2 linked regions of the Tamandua tetradactyla genome follow. The protein of the gene in region 2 binds, or shares a complex with, the protein of the main gene of each other region. Links are inferred from orthologs where the notes say so. Each region holds a gene or a part of one and is shown on either strand. Other genes may lie near its edges.

What was found.
Region 1: POLR2F (region 2) and ERCC2 share a complex: the UniProt entries of both Homo sapiens proteins name them as parts of the TBP-based Pol II pre-initiation complex. The link is inferred for Tamandua tetradactyla from reciprocal best matches to the Homo sapiens genes POLR2F and ERCC2.

The regions. Positions count from the first base shown.
Region 1 is NC_135342.1:15,626,411-15,633,809, forward strand, and holds the start of ERCC2 (general transcription and DNA repair factor IIH helicase subunit XPD), read left to right. Parts: upstream 1-4,370; 5' UTR 4,371-4,498; coding exon 4,499-4,503; exon of another isoform or gene 4,504-4,578; intron 4,579-4,790; coding exon 4,791-4,890; intron 4,891-5,850; coding exon 5,851-5,928; intron 5,929-6,002; coding exon 6,003-6,065; intron 6,066-6,218; coding exon 6,219-6,332; intron 6,333-7,399. UniProt on the Homo sapiens protein: ATP-dependent 5'-3' DNA helicase. Component of the general transcription and DNA repair factor IIH (TFIIH) core complex, not absolutely essential for minimal transcription in vitro.
Region 2 is NC_135333.1:30,297,849-30,305,521, reverse strand, and holds the start of POLR2F (DNA-directed RNA polymerases I, II, and III subunit RPABC2), read right to left. Parts: upstream 3,090-7,673; 5' UTR 2,977-3,089; coding exon 2,957-2,976; intron 480-2,956; coding exon 410-479; intron 1-409. Other genes in the region: C7H22orf23 (UPF0193 protein EVG1), read left to right, coding at 3,389-3,415, 3,606-3,717, 4,362-4,424, 7,523-7,673. UniProt on the Homo sapiens protein: DNA-dependent RNA polymerase catalyzes the transcription of DNA into RNA using the four ribonucleoside triphosphates as substrates.

The DNA of each region.
Region 1 (7,399 bases), on a different chromosome or scaffold from region 2:
GCCCTCATGTCTTTTGAGTAGAGACAGCATATAGATGGGTCCTGTTTTTTATCCATTCTGCCAGACTATGTCTTTTGATTGGGGAGTTTAGTCCATTAACATTCAGTGTTATTACTGCATGGGTAGTACTTTCTTCTACTATTTTGCTTTCTGGATTTTATATGTTATATCTAATTTTCCTTCTTTTTATCTTTACTCATAGTCTTCCTTTCTGCACTCTTCTCCACACCTCTTTCTTCTGTCTTCGTATCTGTCTCTAGTGCTCCCTTTAGTATTTCTTGCAGAGCTGGTCTCTTGGTCACAAATTCTCTCAGTGATTTTTTGCCTGAAAATGTTTTAATTTCTCCCTCATTTTTGAAGGACAGTTTTGCTGGGTATAGAATTCTTGGTTGACAGTTTTTCTCTTTTAAAAATTTAAATATATCATCCGACTGTCTTCTTGCCTCCATGGTTTCTGCTGAGAGATCTATACATAGTCTTATTGGGCTTCCCTTGTACGTGATGGATTGCTTTTCTCTTGCTGCTTTCAAGATTCGCTCCTTCTCTATGACTTCTGACATTCTGGTCAGTAAATGTCTTGGAGTACGTCTATTTGGATCTATTCTCTTTGGGGTATGCTGCACTTCTTGGATCTGTAATTTTAAGTCTTTCGTAAGGGTTGGGACATTTTCAGTGATAATTTCCTCCATTAGTTTTTCTCCTTCTTTCCCCTTCTCTTCTCCTTCTGGGATACCCACAACACGTATATTCATGTGCTTCATATTGTCTTTCAGTTCCCTGAGTCCCTGCTCATATTTTTCCATTTTTCACCATATTTTCTTTTTCTTGCCAGATTTCAGATGTTCTGTCTTCCAGTTCACTAATCCTATGTTCTGTCTCTCAAAATCTACCATTGTAGGTTTCCATCGTTTTTTTCATCTCTTCTTCTGTGCCTTTCATTCCCATAAGTTCTGTGATTTGTTTTTTCAGACTCTCGATTTCTTCTTTTTGTTCATTCCTTGCCTTCTTTATATCCTCCCTCAATTCATTGATTTGGTTTTTGATGAGGTTTTCTATGTCTGTTTGTATATTCTGAATTAATTGTTTCAGCTTCTGTATCTCATTTGAATTGTTGGTTTGTTCCTTTGACTGGGCCATATCTTCACTTTTCCTAGTGTGATTTGTTATTTTTTGCTGGTGTCTAGGCATTTAATTACCTTAATTAGTTTATTCTGGAGATTGCTTTCACTTCTTTACCTAAAGTTTTCTTGCTGGATGAATTTGTTGTCTATCTGTTCTTTGACATTCAGTTCAGCTTTATCTGGACCTCTAGCTTAAGTTTTGTTTAACAGAGGAGAATTTTTAAGCTCTTGTTTTCTTGTTTCTTGCCCTGCTTGTATGGTGCCTCCCCCACACTTAGGAGGGTCTACTTAGGTATTATAGACCCCAGCTGGATTTTCCCAGATCAAACTGGCCTCCTATCAGGAGGAAAGAGTCACCTGCATCAGTTTTCCCTGAGGGTGAGACCCAGCAGGTTGAAAGACTTTCCTGTGAAGTCTCTGGGCTCTGTTTTTCTTATCCTGCCCGGTATGTGGCGCTTGTCTGCCTGCAGGTCCCAACAGCATAAGATGATGTGGTACCTTTAACTTTGGCAGACTCTCCCTGCTGGGGGCATGGTGGGGACACAGGAGAGGTTGTAGGCTGATTTTAATGGCTTCAAATTACCAAGCCCTAGTGTTTGAATTCCTTGAGGGAGGGATTCCACCTGAGTTAGCTTCACCCCTCCCCTGGGGAAGGTACAGGCTCCAGACAAGCTGTCAAACGAGCTTGTTTCTGCTTATGCCTGAGGCAGTTGCAGCCTGATAAGCCCTGCCGCTGTATTCAAAGGCAGTCAAGCCTTTGTAGAAACAAAGCCACAAAAACCTCTGTTTCCTTTTTTCCTCCCTTTTTTTCTTTTTCCATCAGTGCTGCCCCCTTGGCGCCAGGGCAAAAATGAGAGACCTCCGCTTTGACCAGGTTCACCTGAGCTGGGGGCCTATTTTCAGTAGTCAGAATTTGTTAATTAATTCCACAATTGGCGTTTGGTTGGGCTCAGCCCCTGTTTCTGGTCAAGTCCCTTTCCTTTCCCCTCTGGGAAGCAGCCTGTGGGGGAGAGGCACCGGCCGCCATGGCTTGGGGAACTCACGGTTCTGGGGGGGGCTCACAGCCGGCCCAGCTGGTCCAGACTGGGGTACGCTGTGTGTCCGGTCACTGATGTGGCCCCAGGAGCTGTTCTGTACTGTTTCTGGTTATTTAGTAGTTGCTCTGGAGGACGAACTATAACGTGCACATTGTTAAGCCACCATCTTGGCCTGGAAGTCCCACCTTGTCCTTTTAATACATGAAACCACAAGGAACAGCTCTGTGTAGGCAATTGTTCCTATTCAGTGTTCCCCTTGGTTAAAGTTCTCAGTTCTCAGCTTTGGGGTCATGTCACCGATCTTATTAACCGGCTCAAACCCCAGTCCTCTAACTATTATTATGAGTTCTACTGGCTCCTTAGAACCCACTTCGAGAAACTTTACCTTACTTTGAAACTATATTTTCATTCATGTGTTTGTATGATGTTTTGGTTTGCTAAAGCTGCCATTTCTGCAAAATGCCAGAAATGGATTGGCTTTTATAAAGGTGATTTATTAAATTTCGAGTTACAATTCTAAGGCCATGAAAATGTCCAAATTAAGGCACCAACAAGAGGATACCTTCTTGGAGGAGAGGCAGCTGGCATCTGACCTGTCACATAGGAAGGTATATGGCAACATCTGCTGTCCTTCTCTTCGGGCTTCTGGTTTCAAATGGGTCTCTCAGCTTCTGGTGTCTCCTGGGGTGTTTTCCTTCTATTTCTCCAAATATCTGTGTGTTCTCCAAACGTCCCTCTCTTAAAGGACTCCAGTAAGCGGATTAAGACCCACTTTGAATGAGCAGGACCACATCTTCATGGGAACAATCCGATCAAAAGGTCCCACCTAACAATAGATCTGCCCCCACAAGTTTGGATTAGAAGACCGTGTCTTTTCTGGGGTTCATAACGGTTTCAAACCAGGACATATGACATTAACCATTAATGTCATTTGTTAGGGTATCCTTATTCTCACTTTAGAAGTAAACAAACCAAGTTCTTAGAGGAGAACCTGCCCAGTCAGATCAGGTATCACTCCCACCCCATCCCAGTCCTTTGCCCTCAGGATCGTCACTGCCTGGGAATGAGTCTGTCTTCCACACTGGACTGTGAGCCTGGGGCTCTTCGGTCCCTGCTATGTCCTCAGTATCCTCCAGCACGGGGGTAGGGAGGCACAGAGGAGAGGCTCAGGGAGCATGTGTTGATTGAATGAATGAATGAAATGAGGTGATTATTAAGGAAACAGCAACCTTGGTGGGGCCCGCTTTCTCCAGCCTCTGTCTCTCCTGATGAACCTTGTGGTTGTGCCAATGAGACCCCTTTCTCTAATCCTTGCTAAATAGGGAACTGGGGACCTACCCCTCTTCTCTGCCTGAATCAGCTCCAGGAACTCTCATTTCTCCTGTTATAAGCCCTTATGATTTCCTGAATTTTCCTTCATACTTCTTGTCACACTTGTAATCATATATTTATTTGTATGTTTAATATCTGTTCTTTGAGGACAGAAACAGGGGCGTTTTGGGGGTACCTCTGTGTTCTCAGAGTTCAGCACAGGATCTCAGCTCCCATAATGGTTTCTTGAATGGACAAATAAAAGCTAACATTTATTGAATGCTTAGTATGTGCAAAGCCCCATTTTAACGGCTTTATGTGGGTTAATTTAAAGGTCACCTATGTGGTAGATATTCTAATTGTTCCCAGTTTACAATGAGAAAAATAAACCACAGAGAGGTCAAGTAATTTGATCAAGGTCACACAGCTAGCAGATAGCAGAACCAGGATTTGGACCCAGGAGTTCTGGCTCCAGAGACCCACTTTAGCCACAAACTATACTGCTTTTCCATTATTGACTGAATAAAAACACCTAGCTCAGTCTCTGGAGAACAGTAGGCGCTCAATAAATGGGAAGTTATTTATTCCACAGGGGACAAGGACACAGCAGACACTTTATAAATGATACTTATTTCGTGCGGTGAAGCCATTGCGACCTCGCGGGCCCCGGAGGGATTTCCAATTTCACTGTCATTCTCCCGCAGACTCTACTCGCTGTTGGGATAATCAGGGCAGAAGTAGGAAGAACGAAGCCAACTGAATGGGATCGATCCTCTCGGGACTCCTCCTTCCGCGTTTTGTTTTTTGTCTTCGGCGATCCTCAGCGATGCCTGGGAAACCACCTCCCGCCTCAGAGCGGCCCCCCGAAGTGCGCATGCGCATTACCCTCCTGGCGGAGTGGCGTGCGGCATCAGCCAATGCGCTGTGCGGAAGGTGGAGCGGGACCGCTAAGGCGCCCCAGGGACCTTCCCTTCACTGAATATTAATGAAGGAGGCGTGTCGACGACTTTGCAAACCGGAGTCGGCGCCATGAAGTGAGATGGGGGCTGGGGGTCGCGGCGCGTGACGGGCTCCAGGGCTTGAAGTTGGGAGTACCGGTGGGGGTACCGGTGGGCACCCCTGGGCCCCGGTGGAGCGAGGGGGAGGCCGAAGCGGTGGGGTGGGGGTAGCGGCGGGAACCGTCGGGGTGGTGACGGGGATGGCCCGCGAGGAGACGCCGAGGGGCCCCGGAGGCTCCTGTGGAAGTGGACGACGGGGGAGTGTGGGGGCTGGAGGGAGGGCCGGGGGGCCGGGGGCCTGACCCCGCAGCCCTTGCTGTCAGGCTCAACGTGGACGGGCTGCTGGTCTACTTCCCTTACGACTACATATACCCGGAGCAGTTCTCTTACATGCTGGAGCTGAAACGCACGCTGGACGCCAAGGTGTGTGGGCCCGGCCGGCCGATGCCTTTTTGACTGAGATTACGGGACGTCTAGACCAGGAAAACCCCAAAGTTTTCGATATCTGAGGTTCTGGGGAATCAGGACTCTAAAGCCAGCCTCCCAGGCATCTAAACTAATAAGAGCTGGTAATAGCAGCAGCTAACATCAAAGGCTAAACGTCTCCAGCGGTTAGGAATAAATGGACTTTTGAAGTCTGCTGTCTGGATTGGAATCCAGGACTCACAGTCCACCGGCTGTGTGCCCTCAGGCTAGTCACTTAACTTCCCTGTTCCACTGTATCCTCCCCTGTCAGATACCTCATGGGTTGTTGTGATGGTTAAATGAGTTAATAAACAAAAGACAGTGGTTCACAACCAAGGGCAGTTTGCCTCTCTCCTCCTAGGGGACACTTGGTAACGTCTCGTGACATTTCTGGTTGTCACATAGTGGAGGGGCATGTGTGTTACTGGCATCTAGTGGGTAGAGACCAGGGATGTCGCTAAACATCCTAAAATGTGCCTGATAGCAATAGTGACCAAGACTTATCGGGTCCAAAATGTTGACAGTACAAAGGTTGAGAAACTTGGTTGTAAGGAACCATGCCAGACTGTGGAAGCATTTGTAAATTCAGAGAAAAAGGAGGCTCACCCTCTATCAGATATTGTGCTAAAAATTTAACCCATAGATTTTCACGATCTTCTCAGTCATGCTATGAGGAAGGTTTTAGTAGTAGACCCATTTAGAGAAGAGGATATTGATGCCCAGAGAGGTGAAGATACTTGCCTAAAACAATTCAACAAGCAGGTGGCAGAAGTGGGGTTCAAGCCCATTGCCCCTGGGGACCAAACTTTTAACTGCTATGCTGACCTGCAGCTATTCTGGGAGGGTGGTGGCACCCCAAAAGTTGGGTCCCTGAGATTCTGAGAGCCCATGTGTTATTCCTTCCACCCTCAACTTCAGGGTCATGGCGTCCTGGAGATGCCATCAGGCACTGGGAAGACAGTATCCCTGTTAGCCCTGATCATCGCATACCAGCGGGTGAGTGACTCTCTGGGCCCAGGGAAGGGGTGGGGGAGAGGCCATTCGGGGCTGAGGCCACTTGTCATTGGCAGGCATACCCGCTGGAGGTGACCAAACTCATCTACTGCTCGAGGACCGTGCCTGAGATTGAGAAGGTGAGCTGGGGCCTGTCCCAGGGCCCCCTCCTCTACTCCCGGGACTCCCTTGGTCACCAGCCTTGGGGGATTTGGGGGGCTGGGGAAGGAGCTGGGGTCTGGCTATTTAGGCGCTTGTGCTTTCACTGAGGCTGAGTTTTCCTGGCTGAGCAGGTAATCGAAGAGCTGCGTAAACTGCTCAACTTCTATGAGAAGCAGGAGGGCGAGAAGCTGCCATTCTTGGGACTAGCTCTGAGCTCCCGCAAGAACCTGTGTATTCACCCTGAGGTGAGTGTCTGTTCCCCTCTTTTCCCTAAGCCTGGGCTTGGGGCAACTCCTCTTTCCAGCCAGTAGTCCTAGATCCCCAGACCAGATTCCTCAGGTAGGTATGTGGGTCCCCTGCATGGAATCCCTTTGTCACTTGTCAAATGTGAGCTCATTGTTCATGGCCTAGACCAGCAGGGAGCCTTCCCACCTTCTCCCAGTCAGGAGAGGTTAAAAAGGCATCTCCTGGAGGCTGGCAGACCTCATTTCCTAAGCCCTGAAATTTAGTAGTTTTATCCTCTTGTACAAGTGATTTCTACCCTTGGGCCTCAGTTTTCACTTCTGTAAAATGGAAATAATTAAGTACCTGCCTCATTTGATGGTTGATAACACTGGGCAAGATGATACATATAAAGCCCTTAGAATGTACAGAAAGGTAAAAGAATGTTTGAAACTATCATAGTATTTATATCATGGTGATAGCTGACATAAGGTTATTTCGACAACCATTGTGGTCATCATATGCCAGGTCTTGTTCCAAGTCGTTACAAGACATTATTTGTAAGAATATGCAACAAACAATACATATGATGAATGATCATTTAAGAGAAGTAGTCCAGGCATAAGAATGATGAGATGGGAAAGGGAAGGAAGGGGTCAGTGATCTTGGAGTCTTCCCCTTTGATGAATGAAAAGATTTTGTTATTCTGGAAGGAAGCCCGGGGTTGTTAAGGTGCCCCTGACAGAGTCATGGAGAGTTCAGGGCTGTGCAGGGGCAAAGGGGTTCGTAGTCGGGATGCTCAGTCCTTCCCTGCTTCTGCAGACTTGCTAAGGTTCAGGGTTTATAGGTGTTTCAAAGGATAAACAGTTGTAAAGTTCTAAGTTTTTGATGTTCTCCTCAATGTCTACCCCTTAGATTTGTCAAGTCTTTAATGTTTTAAAAATAAGTGTTAAGAGTCTAAAAGCATTACCTGTTAAGAGTAAATAGTTACTTGTTTAGTCTTGACTGTTTAATAGAAAACAGTTTGATGTGTGAGTTTTCCAAAGAACTAGCTAGAGTCTCTGGCTGGTTGGAGGTGGGAGTGGGCCAC
Region 2 (7,673 bases):
GTCAGTGGCTTCCCATTGCCTTTGAGCCTCCAAAATCCTGTCTGATGTGGACCTTTATCCAAGGCTACTCTCCCCCTTACTCACTAGGTAGCCCCACGTTGCAGAGCATCTGGCACAAAATAAGCATTCAAGGCATGCATGCTGACTGAATGAAAGGGAAGGTCCCCACTTCAGTGCACTAACTGCCCAGGCACTAAGGTCTACAGACGAAGCAGCCAAAAGCCTTCAGGCCCACCCCCAGAGCTTTTCCAGCACCTAGGTCCAGCATATTAGAACACCACTCACTCTAAACAGGGATGCTTGTGGCAGGGCCCTGACAATCAATAGGAGGTAAATGCATCCAATTATTACCTGCTGCCAGCTCAGCAACCTGGGCTACAGAGGTGGGAACCCAAGGTTAAATACTGACCTCCTCGGCATTCTCCAAGTCATCTAGCCCTTCATCCTCCTCCACATCATCAAAGTCATCACCATCAAAACTGTACAAGAAAAAGAGGCCAGTTAGAGCATCACTTAACTGTGATCAAAGAGGGCAGAGATATGGGTCTTACTTGATACCTAGGAGGTACTAAATAAATATCTACTTAATGAATGAAATCAAACTTCTGTTTGATTTTACTACCTCCATCTTTCCCCATCCATTAGGTCTCACTCATCATTGCTGGATCATTACAGTATGTATGTAAACATATAGATATTTCCCTATCTTAAAAACCAAACTTACTCTCTTCTCACACACCCCCACCTCACCCCTACCCTCCATAGCCCTATTTCCATTATTTCCTTTGGAGCAAAATTCCTGAAGGGGATATCCATCCTCATTAACTCCAATTTCTCTTTCTGTTCTGACACAATCTCATTCCAATATGACTTTCATGACCCCACCCCGGTTCCAGCAAGACCCCTTTTTTTTTTGGCATCGGCAGGCTCCGGGAATCGAACCCAGGTCTCCAGCACAGCAGGCAAGAATTCTGCCAGAGCCACTGATGCACTGCCCAGAACCACTCTTTTTGTGGTTAGAAATATGAATGATCTATTTCTGCATTACTAAATCCAAAGAGCAATTCAATTCTCATTCTCATTTAAGTGGACCTATCAGTAGACATGCTAGACAACTCTTCCCCCCTCCATGCAATCTCCTTCACTGGACTTCAAGAACCTTCCCTGCCTTAGTGTTGCCCTGCCTCACAGGCTGCCCCTTCTCAGATTTCTTTGTGGTTTTTCCTCTTTCCTCCTAAGCACTCAATGTCAGAATGATCCAGCACTCTGGCCCTCTCTCCTTCCCTACGGAACTCACTTCCCTGGTGAGCTCATCTGTTTCTTAGTTTTGATTAACTTACTTATGCTGATGACAACCACATTTTTATCTTCAGAATCGACCTCTCCTCTCACCACACATATCCAATTCGTCAGGAAATGTTCCTGGATCTACCTTCAAAATACATCTAGAATGCAACCACTCCTCACCATACCAACTCTACTAGTAACTCCCTTGTGCAAGCCACTACCTTCTCTCACCTTGATTAAACCCCACTAAGCTCCCTGCTTCTGTCCTTATCCCTCTACAGTATATCAACATAGCTACCAGGATGATCCTTATAAAATCTCAAATCACATCATTCCTCTACTCACAATTCTTCGATGGTTCTCCATTTCACTCAGAGTAAAAGCCAAAGTCCTAACAATGGCAACACGCTTACATCATTTGGCAACCTATCACCTGCCTCCCTGACCTCATCCCCTACCATGCTCCCCTTCCAAGATCTACTCTGGTCTCCTGGCTGTTCCTCAGAAACTCCAGACACGCTCCTCCCTAACACCCTATGCTCTAACTCTCCCATCTCTCGCAAAGGCTAATGCCATCACCTTCTACTCTTGTTCAAATGACACCTTCTCCATGAAGCTTTTTCTCAAATGACCGTTCCATTTAAAGCTGTGATGTACTGCTTTGCCCTTTCCTCTATTTTATTTTCCTATAACACTTACCACCTTCTAATATACCATAAACTTTCCACCATACTATACACATACCTACTTATTGTGCCAATTGTGCATCATCTGTCTTTGCACACCCCTCCCCCAATTCATTCATTTCTATAATCCAAGCTCCTGGAATAGAGTCTGACACAAAAATTTATTGATTGAATGAACCAATTCAACCAAATTCAATATGACGTATTTAAAATAACTTCATGACCCCACTTAAATCTTCACCACCATCCTTGACCTCAAGTACCACACCATCACACCCAAGTAAGACAATAACAACCTGTGCCTTCTTCCAGGTTCCCCATCATGGTTGGAAGAACTACCCACACAGTTATTCATCTAGAAAATGCTAACCCTACATCCCTTCTCCCCCTCACACTCATATTTTATCCATCACCAAATCCTGTCAATTCTACTTTCTGAAATCTGTCAAACCTGTACCCTACTCTCCTACTCATGGTAACTTCACAACCTCTGAAGTTTCACCAGCCTCTCTCAGATAATTAAATTTCCCTCCTCTGAATTACTTCTCTACTATATACTTCAACTACTTGTAATATCTCTTATCTAATATTAGCTTTTATATATATATATATATATTAGCTTTTTATGGAACTATTTCTGCCTTTAGAAGGTGAGCGCCTTAAGGTAGGGACAATGCCCAATTCATTTCAATATTTCCAGTACAAGATACAGAGCCTGGCTCTGTGGAAGTCTGTTGAATGGCACCTTATGCACTGATCCCCTCTGGTCCCTTGAGCCTGGGCCTTTCTGTGTCTAGCCTGTGGCGTGGCCTATGCCCCAGTTCCCCGGCCTCCCCTTCTCCAGTTCCGCCGGTCCCCTCAGGTCCTCAGTCTCCTCAGACACAGCCCCTCCACGTCTGGCTTCTCAGCCTCTTCCGACCCGGTCCCGCCTCATCCGCCCCTTCTGAGGCTCCCGCCTAAGTTCACTTCGCTCCCGCACTCACTTGTCCTCGTTATCTGACATGCTGCCCCGGCTGCAGCGACCTCACTCTGCTACGCACACGCGCGCGGCGACACGCACCCAGCCTCCAATTCGCGCGGCGCCCGGCACACTCTGCGGCTGCGCTGAGACCCAGCGGAAATCACTTCCGGGAGGCAGGCAGGAGAGTCAAATATGCGCATGCGCTGGATGGTGGGCGTTCGTTACCTTGGCAGCAAGAGCCGCTAGCTTCAGGCTCCAATAGGAGGAATCGCGGAGTGTTCCTGAGGGTTACGGGAGCCGGGTGCCGCTACAGAGCCGTGGGGACACCCAGGCCGGGCCTCACATTAGGTGAAGTTTCAATTTGGCCTCACCCAATGGGCACTGTTGTGACCACGGCGATCTTAAAGCTCCCTTCCTCCAAAGGGTACATCCTTGCCACAGGCGCCTGGTCAGGATGAGGACTCTCTGTGTGCGCGTGTGTGTGCATATCTGACTATGTATCTGTGTTTTGGGATGTTGGGCCCTGTCGCGATATTGACTGGCAGCATCACTATTCTCCTATGGCCAGACTCCCGACCCCGGCTCCCACATTCAGGTGGAATTGGGGCGTGGGGAAGCAGGGATGTGGCCTGGGAGACAGGGGATGTATCTTTGCACCTTTCTCTCCTCAGGGACCATCCATGACTTCCCAGGAGAGGGTGGGGGCAGTGACCAAAGGAATCGGGCTCTGGCGTTGCCCTAAACGGGCCACATACACCCCGGGAACCTGCGAGCTGCTCAGAGGTCAGTGCATTAAAGGGGTGGTAACAGTTGCCCTCAGTAACTCAGTTCTCCCCTATATGATCTGTGCCTTAGTAATAGCTATCTTAATTTTAAAGATGAGAGCGTGGGGTTCAGAGAGGTTCTGGGTTCAATAGCTTGTAAGTGGCCAAAAGTCAAAAAGTTAAGAATTTTAGAGTAAAGTACTGTGCAGTCTTTAAATCACACACTCCTCCTCCGTAGGAAGCCTTGTCTCCTTCCAATCCATACCTACCCATACCAGCAACATCTATTACTTGCCCTCACACTACGAAATACCTTTTCCTTCATTTAGCTTAGGGAAACCTGTACTTGGATATTTAGTTGTGCCCATTGGATTAATCTCCATTTCCCTTCTAGATTGTTTACTCCATCAGGGCAGGGATTGTGCCTAATATCCTAGTAGGAGGATAATAAATAATAAATAAAGTAAATAAGTAAAATATATAGAACTTAGATGGTGATAAGTGCTATAGGGAAAAAAAATGAAGCAGGGAAGGAAGAAGGAAGGAAGAAAAGGATTGTTCAGGTGTGGAATGGGGGTAAAAGAAGGAGGTGATGCAAATAAGGTGATATGAAGGCATCTGCCTGCAGCCCAGAAGGTCTCATAGAAATGCTTTCTCTTGCAGTTATGATGAAGGAATCCAAACTGACCAACTTCCAGCAACGCCAAATCATGGACACTGTGAAAAGTAAGAAGTAGTCCACAGAGGCTTCCAGGCAGGGGGATTCTGGTACACATTTTTTAAATGTCCCTTCATATTGAAGCATATGGAGAGACCTCGTTTAAAAACAAAAGCCAAAAAAAAAAAAAAAAGAATAGTATTTCTGCACCTTGGCTCTGAAGAAGTGACTCTGTCGGGCCTTTGCCCCTTCTCTGGACATGATTCCTGGCATTATGAAAATTCTCCTGAAGTCTGGCTCTGCCTGACCTTCCCAAGGGATCACAGCCCAATAGGGACTTTGTGCCCAACCAGAATAGTCTCAACACAGTCATGTCTGCAGTCTGTCCCTCCCCATTACACACATACCATATGAGCTCTCCAGAGGAAAGGACTGTGCGTGTGCTTTGTTTGTAGTTTTATTCATTCATAGCTTGGCTAGTGGAAACAAGATGATTGGCTAAATTCAAACTTAGAACACAGAAAACCTTTCTATGGCTCATCTCTTGCTAAACATTGTTATTTGCTTTTAAGAATAGAATAAAAGCGGAAGAATTAAAGGCAGTACACGGGTAGCATAACAAGGTACCCCCTTGAAAATAACCTTGTCCTCTGAGTCAGCATTTAATGAGTCAGAATAGAGGCCTGCACAGTTGCCTTTTAAAGGCAGAATGCCAAGAGGCCCAAGTCTGTTGGGCTTTCCTTGAGTCTGCCCAAAGTTACTGGCTTCCCTAAAATAGGAATGTACCTGTATGGAGGGCATTTGATCAACCACAGACCTGCATGGGAGGAAGAGTCAGAGAGGCAGATATTGACAGTGTCCGTCCATCACTGACTGTGAGAGGGAGGGAGGCTCTGTCAGACCAGTTCAGGGATCAGAATCACTTCCTTGTTGTGGTCAAGGACAACTCAGGCTACCAGAGCCTGGTGCCATCACAAGTTTGAATCACATAACTCTATCTCCATACTCAACAGTCTACTAAGAATTTGGTGTCCCCTGTCACATGACTGCAAAGAGAATGTGCTAGAAATTCCACCAAAAATAAATACCTCAAGTCCAAAGACTGGTCTGCTTGTTCACCACTATAGAGCTGCTCCTAGAACACGAACTCAGTATTTATTGAACAGCTGAATTGTTTCAATGATTAGGCCCACATGAGTAATTGATTTGCCTGGCAGTTTTATTCTCATTAAGAAATTTTCCTTAAAACAAACTAACAAAAAAATTGCTTCCAAGCCTTGGTGTTGAGTCTCAGTTTTCTTTTGGAATTTCTTCTCTACTTCTTTCCTGTGAACCAAATCTTATTCAATGTTTGAAGCTTAGCTCAAATTCTTTTGCAAGCCATAAATACCTTTGCTTCACCTGAACTCCCAGAATTATTTGCTGAGAAAGGTCCAAAGGAAGAAGTAGTATTTGAGCTAACTCTTGACAGAGTTAAGAGTGGACAGGAAGTGGAGAGAATGAGAGGTACATTCTGAGAAACCCAGCATCTCTTTAGAGAAAAGAGATTAATTCATGGTGTGGCTTTAGGTAGATGGCATAAAAAGGGATGATTTGTGGGAAATAATGGCAGCTCCATCCTCCAGTTGCTTGGGACAGATGCCTTGGAATCATCCTTAATTCCTTTCTTTATCCCACATCCATACCCAATCCATCAGCAATCCATCTTCTTAATCTTCAAACTATATCCTGACTTTAACTACTTGTCCCCAACTCCGCTGCTAGCACCTGGCCCAGGTCCCCATCGTCTCACCCCATTATGACATCATTAACCTTAGAACTGACCTCTTTCCTCTTCCCTTGGCCCTCTATACTCTATTTTCAACAGCAGCTGAAGGGATCATGTCACTTCTGTGCTCAAAATCCTCCCATGGGCTTCCTGTCTCATATCAAGCAAAAGCCAGTACCTCCAGATGCCAACAAAGCCCTGCAATCTGGGGCCCTCCATGAGTCCCTAACCTCTGCTCTCATTATGACTCCCTTCACCTCCCCAACCCCCCATGCTCACTCCACCCCTGGTACCTGGCCTCCTGTGTGTTCCCCAAAGCTCCCAGACCCCTCCCACCTCAAGGCCTGTTTCCTATGCCTGGAATGCTCTTTCCCAGGTTACTGGCCTAGTTGGCCTCCTCACCAGTCTCAGCTATTTTCTCAAATGTCACCTCCTTCATGAAGCCTTCCCTGACTACCCTGTTTGGAATCATGGAATTCACTGTTATAGACCCTGTGCTCCATCCCTGCACTGTCATCATCTAACCAACTACGTATTTTACTTATTTTACTATCATCTCCGCTCCCAGCCCAAACATAAGCCCTGTGAGAACAGGGCCTTATCTTAAATTCTATCCCCAGTATCCAGGGCTTGGCACACAGTGGGTACTTAATGCTTATTTGCTGATGGGATGATAGAAGGCTGGGAAGTATCAACAGGGGCCAGATCATAGCAGTGGGTAGGGCATGCTCTAAGCTGGGCTTTAGAATGACTGAGAGGAGGGACAATCAACCAGAGGAGGTGATGTGGTTTTCTAGGCTGCACCAAAGGATGGACCGCAGGAGGGACAGGTGTCCACTACCACCCAAACTGTCCCTCTCTGCTCTTGCCCCCAGCAGGTTTGAGGATTCCCTCCTATAGAATAAAAGCATCGGTACAAAGGCTTGATGTACAAGGGTGTTTATTGCTGCATTGTTTGAAGTAGAAAAAAGAAAAAACTAAAAGCAACCTGAATTTCTGAAACTAAGAGACTAGTTGAATAAATAATATGCTCATTTTAAGGACTAATATACTATAAAAATAAAGTATATTTATTTACTATAAAACTATGTTACATATATAAATGGATTGATCTAGAAAGATGTCCATTATTAATTATTAAGTGAAGAGTCTATTCCTGAATACTGAAGTATGATCAAGTGTTTGAAAAAAAATCATATATGTGCGCATCTGTCTTTGAACATACTCCAAAAGCAGGGCAAGGGACCAGCAAATTATAACTAATGCTCATTGTGGGGGGTGGGGTTGGAGGGGGAAAGGGATATTGCTATAATAAACAGCTGTCACTTTTATGATTAAAAAAACAACAACAACAACAACTAGCCAGGTGAGCCCCCACCCTGGCCCTCCCTTCCCCAGGAGGAGACACTCTGCCCCTGCAATGCAGCCCAACATCCAGCCAGAGGGCATTGCCACCCAAGCCACCAGCCTCTGCCATCCACCTGCCTCCCATCCTGACGGCCCGGCCTCACCTCCGGCCTGCCAATGTGTGCCAAGCCAACGGGGCCTA